Bombyx mori: one gene and its partner. The protein of the gene in region 1 purifies or fractionates together with the protein of each later gene. This does not show direct contact. Links are inferred from orthologs where the notes say so. Each region holds a gene or a part of one and is shown in the gene's direction. Other genes may lie near its edges.

Region 1 (3,567 bases):
TGGACGTCAGAAATACCAGGGGCAGAGCCAAGACGCTGTCTACCGTAAAGTTTTAAAAAAAAAAAATTATTGGTTAGATGGGTGGACGAGCTGACAGCCCACCTGGTGTTAAGTGGTTACTGGAGCCCATAGACATCTACAACTTAAATGCGCCACCCACCTTGAGATATAAGTTCTAAGGTCTCAAGTATAGTTACAACGGCTGCCCCACCCTTCAAACCGAAACGCATTAACTGCTTCACAGCAGAAATAGGCAGAGTGGTGGTGCCTACCAGCGCGGACTCATTAGAGGTCCTACCACCAGTAATTACGCAAATTAAAATTTGCGGGTTTGATTTTTATTACATGATGTTATTCCTTCACCGTGGAAGTCAATCGTGAACATTTATTGAGTACGTATTTCATTAGAAAAATTGGTACCCGCCTGCGGGATTCGAACACCGGTGCATCGCTACATACGAATGCACCGGACGTCTTATCCTTTAGGCCACGACGACTTCAAAATATAATAACATAATAACCGTGTCTCGTCCCCAGGGCCGCTACGGCGAGGTGTGGCGCGGCTCGTGGTACGGGGACAGCGTGGCGGTCAAGATCTTCTTCTCGCGAGACGAGGCCAGCTGGAAGCGCGAGACCGAGGTGTACAGCACCGTGCTGCTGCGCCACCAGAACATCCTGGCCTACGTGGGCAGCGACATGACCAGCCGCGGCAGCTGCACGCAGGTCCGCACCAGGCTCACGTCGTGGAGACTAAACATTACCCATTTAACATGAACCTTCATTGATATTCCAATGAATATTCTTTGGTCCTATTAGAGGCTCTAAGAATTCTACACAACGCGAAGTCAACTCCAGTTAAGGACTTAGTTAAATGTGTTTTTTTTGTATTGCTTAAATGGGTGGATGAGCTCACCGTCAACTTGATGTTTAGTGGTTATTGTTAAGGAAATCTTCAAACGCTTCACAGTAGAAATATGCAAGATGATAGTAGCTATCCTTACGGACTCACAAGGCGCTCTCCCAGCAGTGTTTCCATAGCATCTAAAATAATAATGACATCCAGCCCCCTTTGCTGCCAGATCTTTAATTTAGTCCTGATACAATCGCTTTCAAACTATTCCCTACTAATGTCATCAATATTGATCAATCCATCTCGTAGTCTACAGAAAGCGCGCCTGCTTCCACACACCTCCAGACTTTGAATATGTCATGGTCCGGTGACGTCAGAACCCTCACCCCCGCTTGTGGTTCCAGCTGTGGCTGATCACGCAGTACCACCCGCTGGGCTCGCTGCACGAGCACCTGCAGCGCGGCACGCTCTCCCGCCAGCAGCTCGCCGCGCTCAGCCTGTCCGCCGCCAGCGGCCTGCTGCACCTGCACACGCAGATACACGGCACCCAGGTGACCCTCACTTATTACAATACGAACAAGACTCCAATTTCAAAAGTCGACTAAGACATCTGTTGGACTGCAGTATATATGTACCTACCTATGCTGATAGCTTTGAGAGGCTATTTCAGCTTCGCCCTAACGTGTGTAGGTGAGCTCACGGGGCTCAAACCGGAGTGTTGCTAACACGAACTCTAGCAAGAGCAGTGCTTCGCAGAATCTACCACCGGATCGGAAACGCGACCCACTGAAAAGATCCGGCGAGAAACTCGGTGGGCTGTGTCTGTGGGTTAATTCGCTCGTCGAGCCCTTCGTCGCTAGCGACGGGTTCGACGAGGACGGTGACCGGGCCACACGACAACAAACAACATCACTAGTTTGTATGGAGTTGGAACAGCGCCCCTAGCGGCAAACGAACGGAAGCTGTTCCAACTGCATACAAACTTGTGTTAATTTTACGCTATCGAGAACGCTAAAAAACTCGCATTAAGTTTGTAGTAATGCTGCTAACAGCTTGAAATTGTTGGTGAAAGTTAGTTTGATGTAGTTCCAATACAATTGACAAAGCCACTTATTAACTGAAATTGATTTCTGCATTAAAAAAAAAGTTAATTATTGATTTAATCATTAAATCAATGATCATCTCACTCAATGTGTTGATATATTATAATATGTAGTAATTAACCAAAATTCATATTCACATTAACCAATTCTCTTATTAGTAACACAAGCCTTGAGAATGGGGAATAGAATACAATAAGACTGGGAGTTTTTTCACGGGAAACCTCAGCAATGATATTATCCAAAGAGAACAAAATTTATTGACATAGTGTGCTTGAATAGAGAACAACCAAGCATAATTTATTACACTGCAAATGGCTGGTCTAATCTGAATGGAATTTATGAAGATCCTGATGATGATGATAAAAAGCGGCAGCAGGCAACGGCTAGGTCTGCCCCTAGCATTGCTGAAGTCCATGGGCGACGGTAACCACTCACCATTGGGTGGGCTGAATGCTCGTCTGTTTACAAGGGCAATAAAAAAAATAAAAAAAATATTTCCAGGGTAAACCTGCGATAGCACACCGGGACATCAAGTCCAAGAACATCCTGGTCAAGGTGAATGGGGAGTGTTGCATCGGAGACCTCGGGCTCGCCCTCACCGCGCAGCACATCGAGCAGGGCCAGCAGCTGCACAACCCTCGCCAGGGGACCAAGAGGTATATGAGCCCCGAGATGCTGGACCACACGTGAGTACTCCGGTACACTTTTTTGTAGCTATACAGTAGTGTAGGCTCAGGCCACATGGGCCTCTGTTGTACCTTTTTATTTATTTATTGCATAGGTGTGTGGACGAGCTCATAGCCCATCTGATGTTAAGTGGTTACCCGAGCCTATAAACATTTACAACGTAAATGCCGTCACCTACCTTGATATAATAGTTCTAGATAATAGTTCTAAGGTCTCAGTTTGTACAGTACCTGTTTCTGTCCAATCCAAGAATCACTTCTCCGAGCTTAGAATTTGATCTCATGTCTCAAGGAGAATGACATTCTCGTCGTGGTACATGTTTATGGGCTTTAACTACAAAGCTATATCGGGTTAATATAGCCCATCTGAATCCAAACTAAAACATGTTCCGTGAACAGTACTTGTCTAGACAAATCTAGGGAGCCTGAATCCTATAATTACTTAATAGACCATCAACAACGATCACCAGACGGAGGTATCTACCTAATTATTAAACCATGAATCCAAACTAAAGACTCAACTATTAAAAACATGTTCCATGAACAGTACTTGTTAAGACAAATCTAGGCAGCCTGAATTCTATAATTACTTTTAGACCATCAACAATGATTACCAGTCTGGAGGTGTCTTGATCAAATTGATCAAATGAAAATGTATTTCACAAAATAATGTAATAACCAAAATGGTTTTTTTTACGTCAAACTGAACATTAACTATGGCGTCATACGTGGCTGATCTATTTGTTAACATTAAAATAAGGACAGTAATTCGACAGCAATTTTTATTCTCAAAATTTAAAAACAGTTGAACTATAGTAGAATTATTTTGTCCGTGCAGTTTGGGTTATAGATAATCGGAGCAGTGAAGCGAGTATTTCGCTCTCTCTTCCACTCACGGTCCTTATGGACAGGCATAGTGATGCGCATT
Region 2 (4,362 bases), on another chromosome or scaffold:
GGTATTTTAGATATCCTTGCCATATGATAATAATATGATGTGTATTGAAACATGTGCAAATAATATTCAATCAGTATCTGTTTTGATATCTCATTGGTGAAGTATACTGACAACTACCAGATAACCCTTTTATACCAGGTTGGCCATAAGTTTGTTCACCTATCTATGCTATAAAAATAACTATTAAAACGTATTGTTGCTATTGTTTTCGGTTTACTTGTATTTGAATCAATATCATTGATACTCCACAGGGAATACTTTAATAATGCACAAAAAAATTATTTTTCCTTTCATTATGCATATGTAGCGGCAGATATTGAGGATTCAAGACTATTAAATAATTTCATTTAGACTTTGGTTGATTCATTATTTTACATTTTCGGTTCTATAAACACTGGTTGCTGTTTTGACACCACAGGGACTGTGATTTTGTACACCCACTAATAAATACCATACAAAAATGCAAAAGTAATTGAAAGTGATTTTAAGAACATTAACATAATCTGCTCAAGCATTGGATGAATCCGGTATTGGAACGCCCAGAGGCACCACTCAGCACAACTCGTCATTAGGCCTCTACATGATATCATTAGAGAGAGACTGACTGAGTTATGAGAGTCACAACCTTCATCTATGAGGGTCGATTAAGAAGAATTTAAGAAGTCGTCGTGGCCTAAAGGATAACTCATTCGGTGCATTCATGTTGAGCGATGCACCGGTGTTCGAATCCCAGGCGGGTACCAATTTTTCTAATGAAATACGTACTCAATAAATATTCTCGATTGACTTCCACGGTGAAGGAATAACATCGTGTAATAAAAATCAAACCTGCAAATTTTAATTTGCGTAACGACTTGTGGTAGGATCTCTTGTGAGTACGCGCGGGTAGGTACCATCCCCTAGCCTATTTCTGCCGTGAAGCAGTAATGCATTCCGGTTTGAAGGGCGGGGCAGCCGTTGTAACTATACTTGAGACCTGAGAACTTATATCTCAAGGTGGGTGGCGCATTTACGTCGTAGATGTCTATGGGCTGCAATAACAACTTAACACCAGGTGGGCTGTGAGCTCGTACACCCATTTATGCAAATAAAAAAAAAGGACAATCGTAATATTATATCTATATTTTTTTTGGGTTGTTCCAGGTAAAAAGAAGATGGGATGATGACGTTGTTTTCAAAAATTGCGCTCGTTCTGAACCGGAAAAGAAACCTAATACTTTTATAAATGACTCATTAAGATCAGAGTTCCATAAGAAATTTATGGAAAAGTACGTGAAATAGTAAATCATTATTGATATTGTAATTCTAAATTTAAAGTTGTTAAAAGCGATTCTATACCTTATTGTAAGCGGAATAGTGATAACGAAGTGGAAATGCTACTATGGATATTACAAACACGTAAAGAAAAGATTGACGAAAACCAATATAATTTTAGTAAATATTATGAAAAAAATGTCATTTTGTTGTTTTGAATAAATTATATGAAAACAAATAGTATTTTATAAAGTTTATTTTCAAGTTAATGTCACGTTACTGATAAAAAGTAATGTTTGTTTCCTCAACAACAGATAGAGGTCAGTTCATTAGCATAATGTGTCTAATTTACTCATATAACAACGAACATTGCTTTCGGGTTCGAAATTTGAGACTCAACTTCTGAGTTTCAGTGGTAAAAATCTTGGTAGTTGGGGTATCCAAACTAAATTAGGGAAGGTATTAAAGAGATTAATTTACAAAAAATTCAAACTTACTGCCCCGATTTGATAATCAATACGCCACCCGTTAAAGTACATAACTGCATTGTTAATGGTAGTAATAAATAATTATTAAATTAACTTATTAACATTCGGAGTTCGGACTGACCAGACTGACGTGTCCGGCGAAGTTGAATGTTTTTATTATTGCGGCGTTGTGAGTGAGGCGTGAGAGGGGAGGCAGTGGTAAGTGCGGAGCAGGCGGCGGCGGCCTACCTTGAGTGGGCAGGTCCACAGCTAGATCCCGCGGCTGGCCATGACGCGTCTCACATCTCGTTAACTCGCCACTAGCCAGTCGCAGACGCTCTCACAACGAATATGGCTGGTTTTGTGCAGTTGGTGTGTGCGTGTTTTGCATTGTTTACTGTGGTCACCGATGCCATACTTTCCGGACTTTACATTGACAATGGTGTTGATCAGACGATAATTCATCATACGATTACACGACACGAGCGCATGGTAGTAGAACATGAAATTTTAGATCTTTTAGGCTTAGGAGAAAGACCCAGAAGATCTAAATCTCCACCTTTGGATCGTTCGGCTCCAAGTTTCCTGTTGGACGTTTATAAGCAACTGGCTGAGGAGCACGAACAGGCACGCCCTACACGTAGTTCTGACATGGCTCTCAGCGGTGATGAGCAGCAAGCTATTGATGAAAGTGATTTAATTATGACTTTTCAAAGCAAAAGTAAGTTATTTTTTGTTTTCATTGCTATTTTATGTTAATTAAAATTTGTTTTCACCATATTACAATAACGAAAACAATATACGTAGGTATGTGAACATAATACTATGCAATGGTTTATTTACCTTTTTTTTTATTTACTTGCCATGCCGAGCCGCCCTAGCAGTACTTACTTCGAATGGCATAGTTCGTAAAATTATTAGAAACCCACGTTAAGTATCAGCAATAAAACTATATTACTGAATCTTAACAAATTTCCAGATATTATAATCATATTGTTATTTTATCTAGTGCATATATTAATGCCACATAAATGTACTCGTAAAAAAATAATTAAAGATCGTGTATTTCTAAGAACAGTTCCCCTGTTTATAGCATGGATCATACAGAATAACTAATTATTACCGTTTAAAAAAATTCAAAACCAGGTCTAAAAACGGCGCGAGTTTTCTTTAATGTTCCGTAAATTATTATTATTGTATTGTAATCTCGCATCAACGTGGTGGTCGAGACCAGTGACTCAATGTCTTACTACCTGGCTACATACCTCATGGAATTCGAACTATGTAAATGTGATTTTTAGGGTTCGGTAGGGGAAAAATGGCAAATGACTGAACCTTTATAATTTCGTTCGATCTTTTTTACTAGATATCTGTTGGACGTATAAAGATTAAATTTGAAAGATATTTACCTTATAAATTTAAAGTCATTTCAATATATTTATATTTTAATATATTCATGTTTATTATATTCCGGACGGCCACCGCTCAGGTTTCGGCCACCACGTGTGATTTTTAGACTTCTTACTCTCGTTGAAACGTGGTGGCTCGAGTATTGCCGCAGTGGCTGTCGCGGAACGGATGCTGGGATTGGTTCGAGGAAATAACGAAGGCTTCAGTATGGCGTTCACACGGTCCTCGTGGCTTGACCGGCGCAGGGCGTAGGAGCGAGTCTTTTCTTGCTTCTTGGGTTGGCGCTCTCCTCTTCTTCTGGAGAGGTCTTGACTCGTCGGCTCGCTGTCTCGAACTGAATTTGCAGCGAGGTAGGCCCCTTATTTATGGTCGCCCACACGCACTCGGCCAGCGCTATTATGAGTCCGAGCACGGTGGGCGTCTATTGTTCTCTCGGCCGCCTCGCTCGCCTATTGTTTGCCTAGTCGCTCTATTAGTTGCCCGTTTTGTGACTCGCTCCTGCGTTCCCACGCCAAATTAAAGACCACGAGGACCAATCTTTATTTACAAAATAACATTTACAAATTAACTTATTTCTATTTACATTTGTATGCTAACTATTTTTAACATACTGTCTATCTCTATTTCTATTAAATCTAGCTGTACTTGCGAACATATTCCTATTCTAGCGTATCTATTTACGGACATTTCTGTTTTAACGTATTATCTATTTATTCTCTATTTATTTATCGCGGACATTTTCTATTATTTTACAACTGTCTATGTGCATCGCGAACAATATCTATTTAACTATTTTCAATCATTTATGTCCGTTCGGGAATATCTTATTCTAACTATGTTTCTTTATGTCCGTCGCGAACATCCTCCCGCCGTGCAGCGTCGTTCACGTCGCTGCATCCTCCTTGGTGAGCGGCGGTCATCGTGGGCAGCACGATGATCTTCTTTGCCGGGCGTCGCAATATACCGCCGGCGGTGCGTACGTCGACCACTCGAGTGATGCCGTCGGCCCCCGGGTAAACCTCCTGGATGATCCCACGTGGCCAGGTGTTCCGTGGGAGCGTTCCGTCTGCTATTATCACGACGTCGCCTATCTTCAGGGCGGGCCCGCGGCTGTGGGGCTCCCGCCGGTTCTGCAGGTCGGGCAGGTACTCCCGGAGCCAGCGACTCCAGAACACATCTGCCAGACGTTGTGCTGCGCGCCAGTGTGCGCGCCCTATGAGGTCGGCGTCGT

Evidence for each region.
Region 2: the proteins of activin receptor type-1 (region 1) and protein 60A purify together in Drosophila melanogaster (affinity purification with western blotting, with the first as the bait; 3 studies listed by BioGRID). This does not show direct contact. The link is inferred for Bombyx mori from reciprocal best matches to the Drosophila melanogaster genes sax and gbb.

Annotation. Positions count from the first base shown.
Region 1 is NC_085126.1:11,570,950-11,574,516, reverse strand, and holds part of activin receptor type-1, read left to right. Parts: intron 1-537; coding exon 538-723; intron 724-1,254; coding exon 1,255-1,401; intron 1,402-2,454; coding exon 2,455-2,639; intron 2,640-3,567.
Region 2 is NC_085110.1:8,226,244-8,230,605, reverse strand, and holds the start of protein 60A, read left to right. Parts: upstream 1-1,498; 5' UTR 1,499-2,072; coding exon 2,073-2,442; intron 2,443-4,362. Other genes in the region: protein CWC15 homolog, read left to right, coding at 1,144-1,281. UniProt on the Drosophila melanogaster protein: Required for the growth of imaginal tissues and for patterning of the adult wing.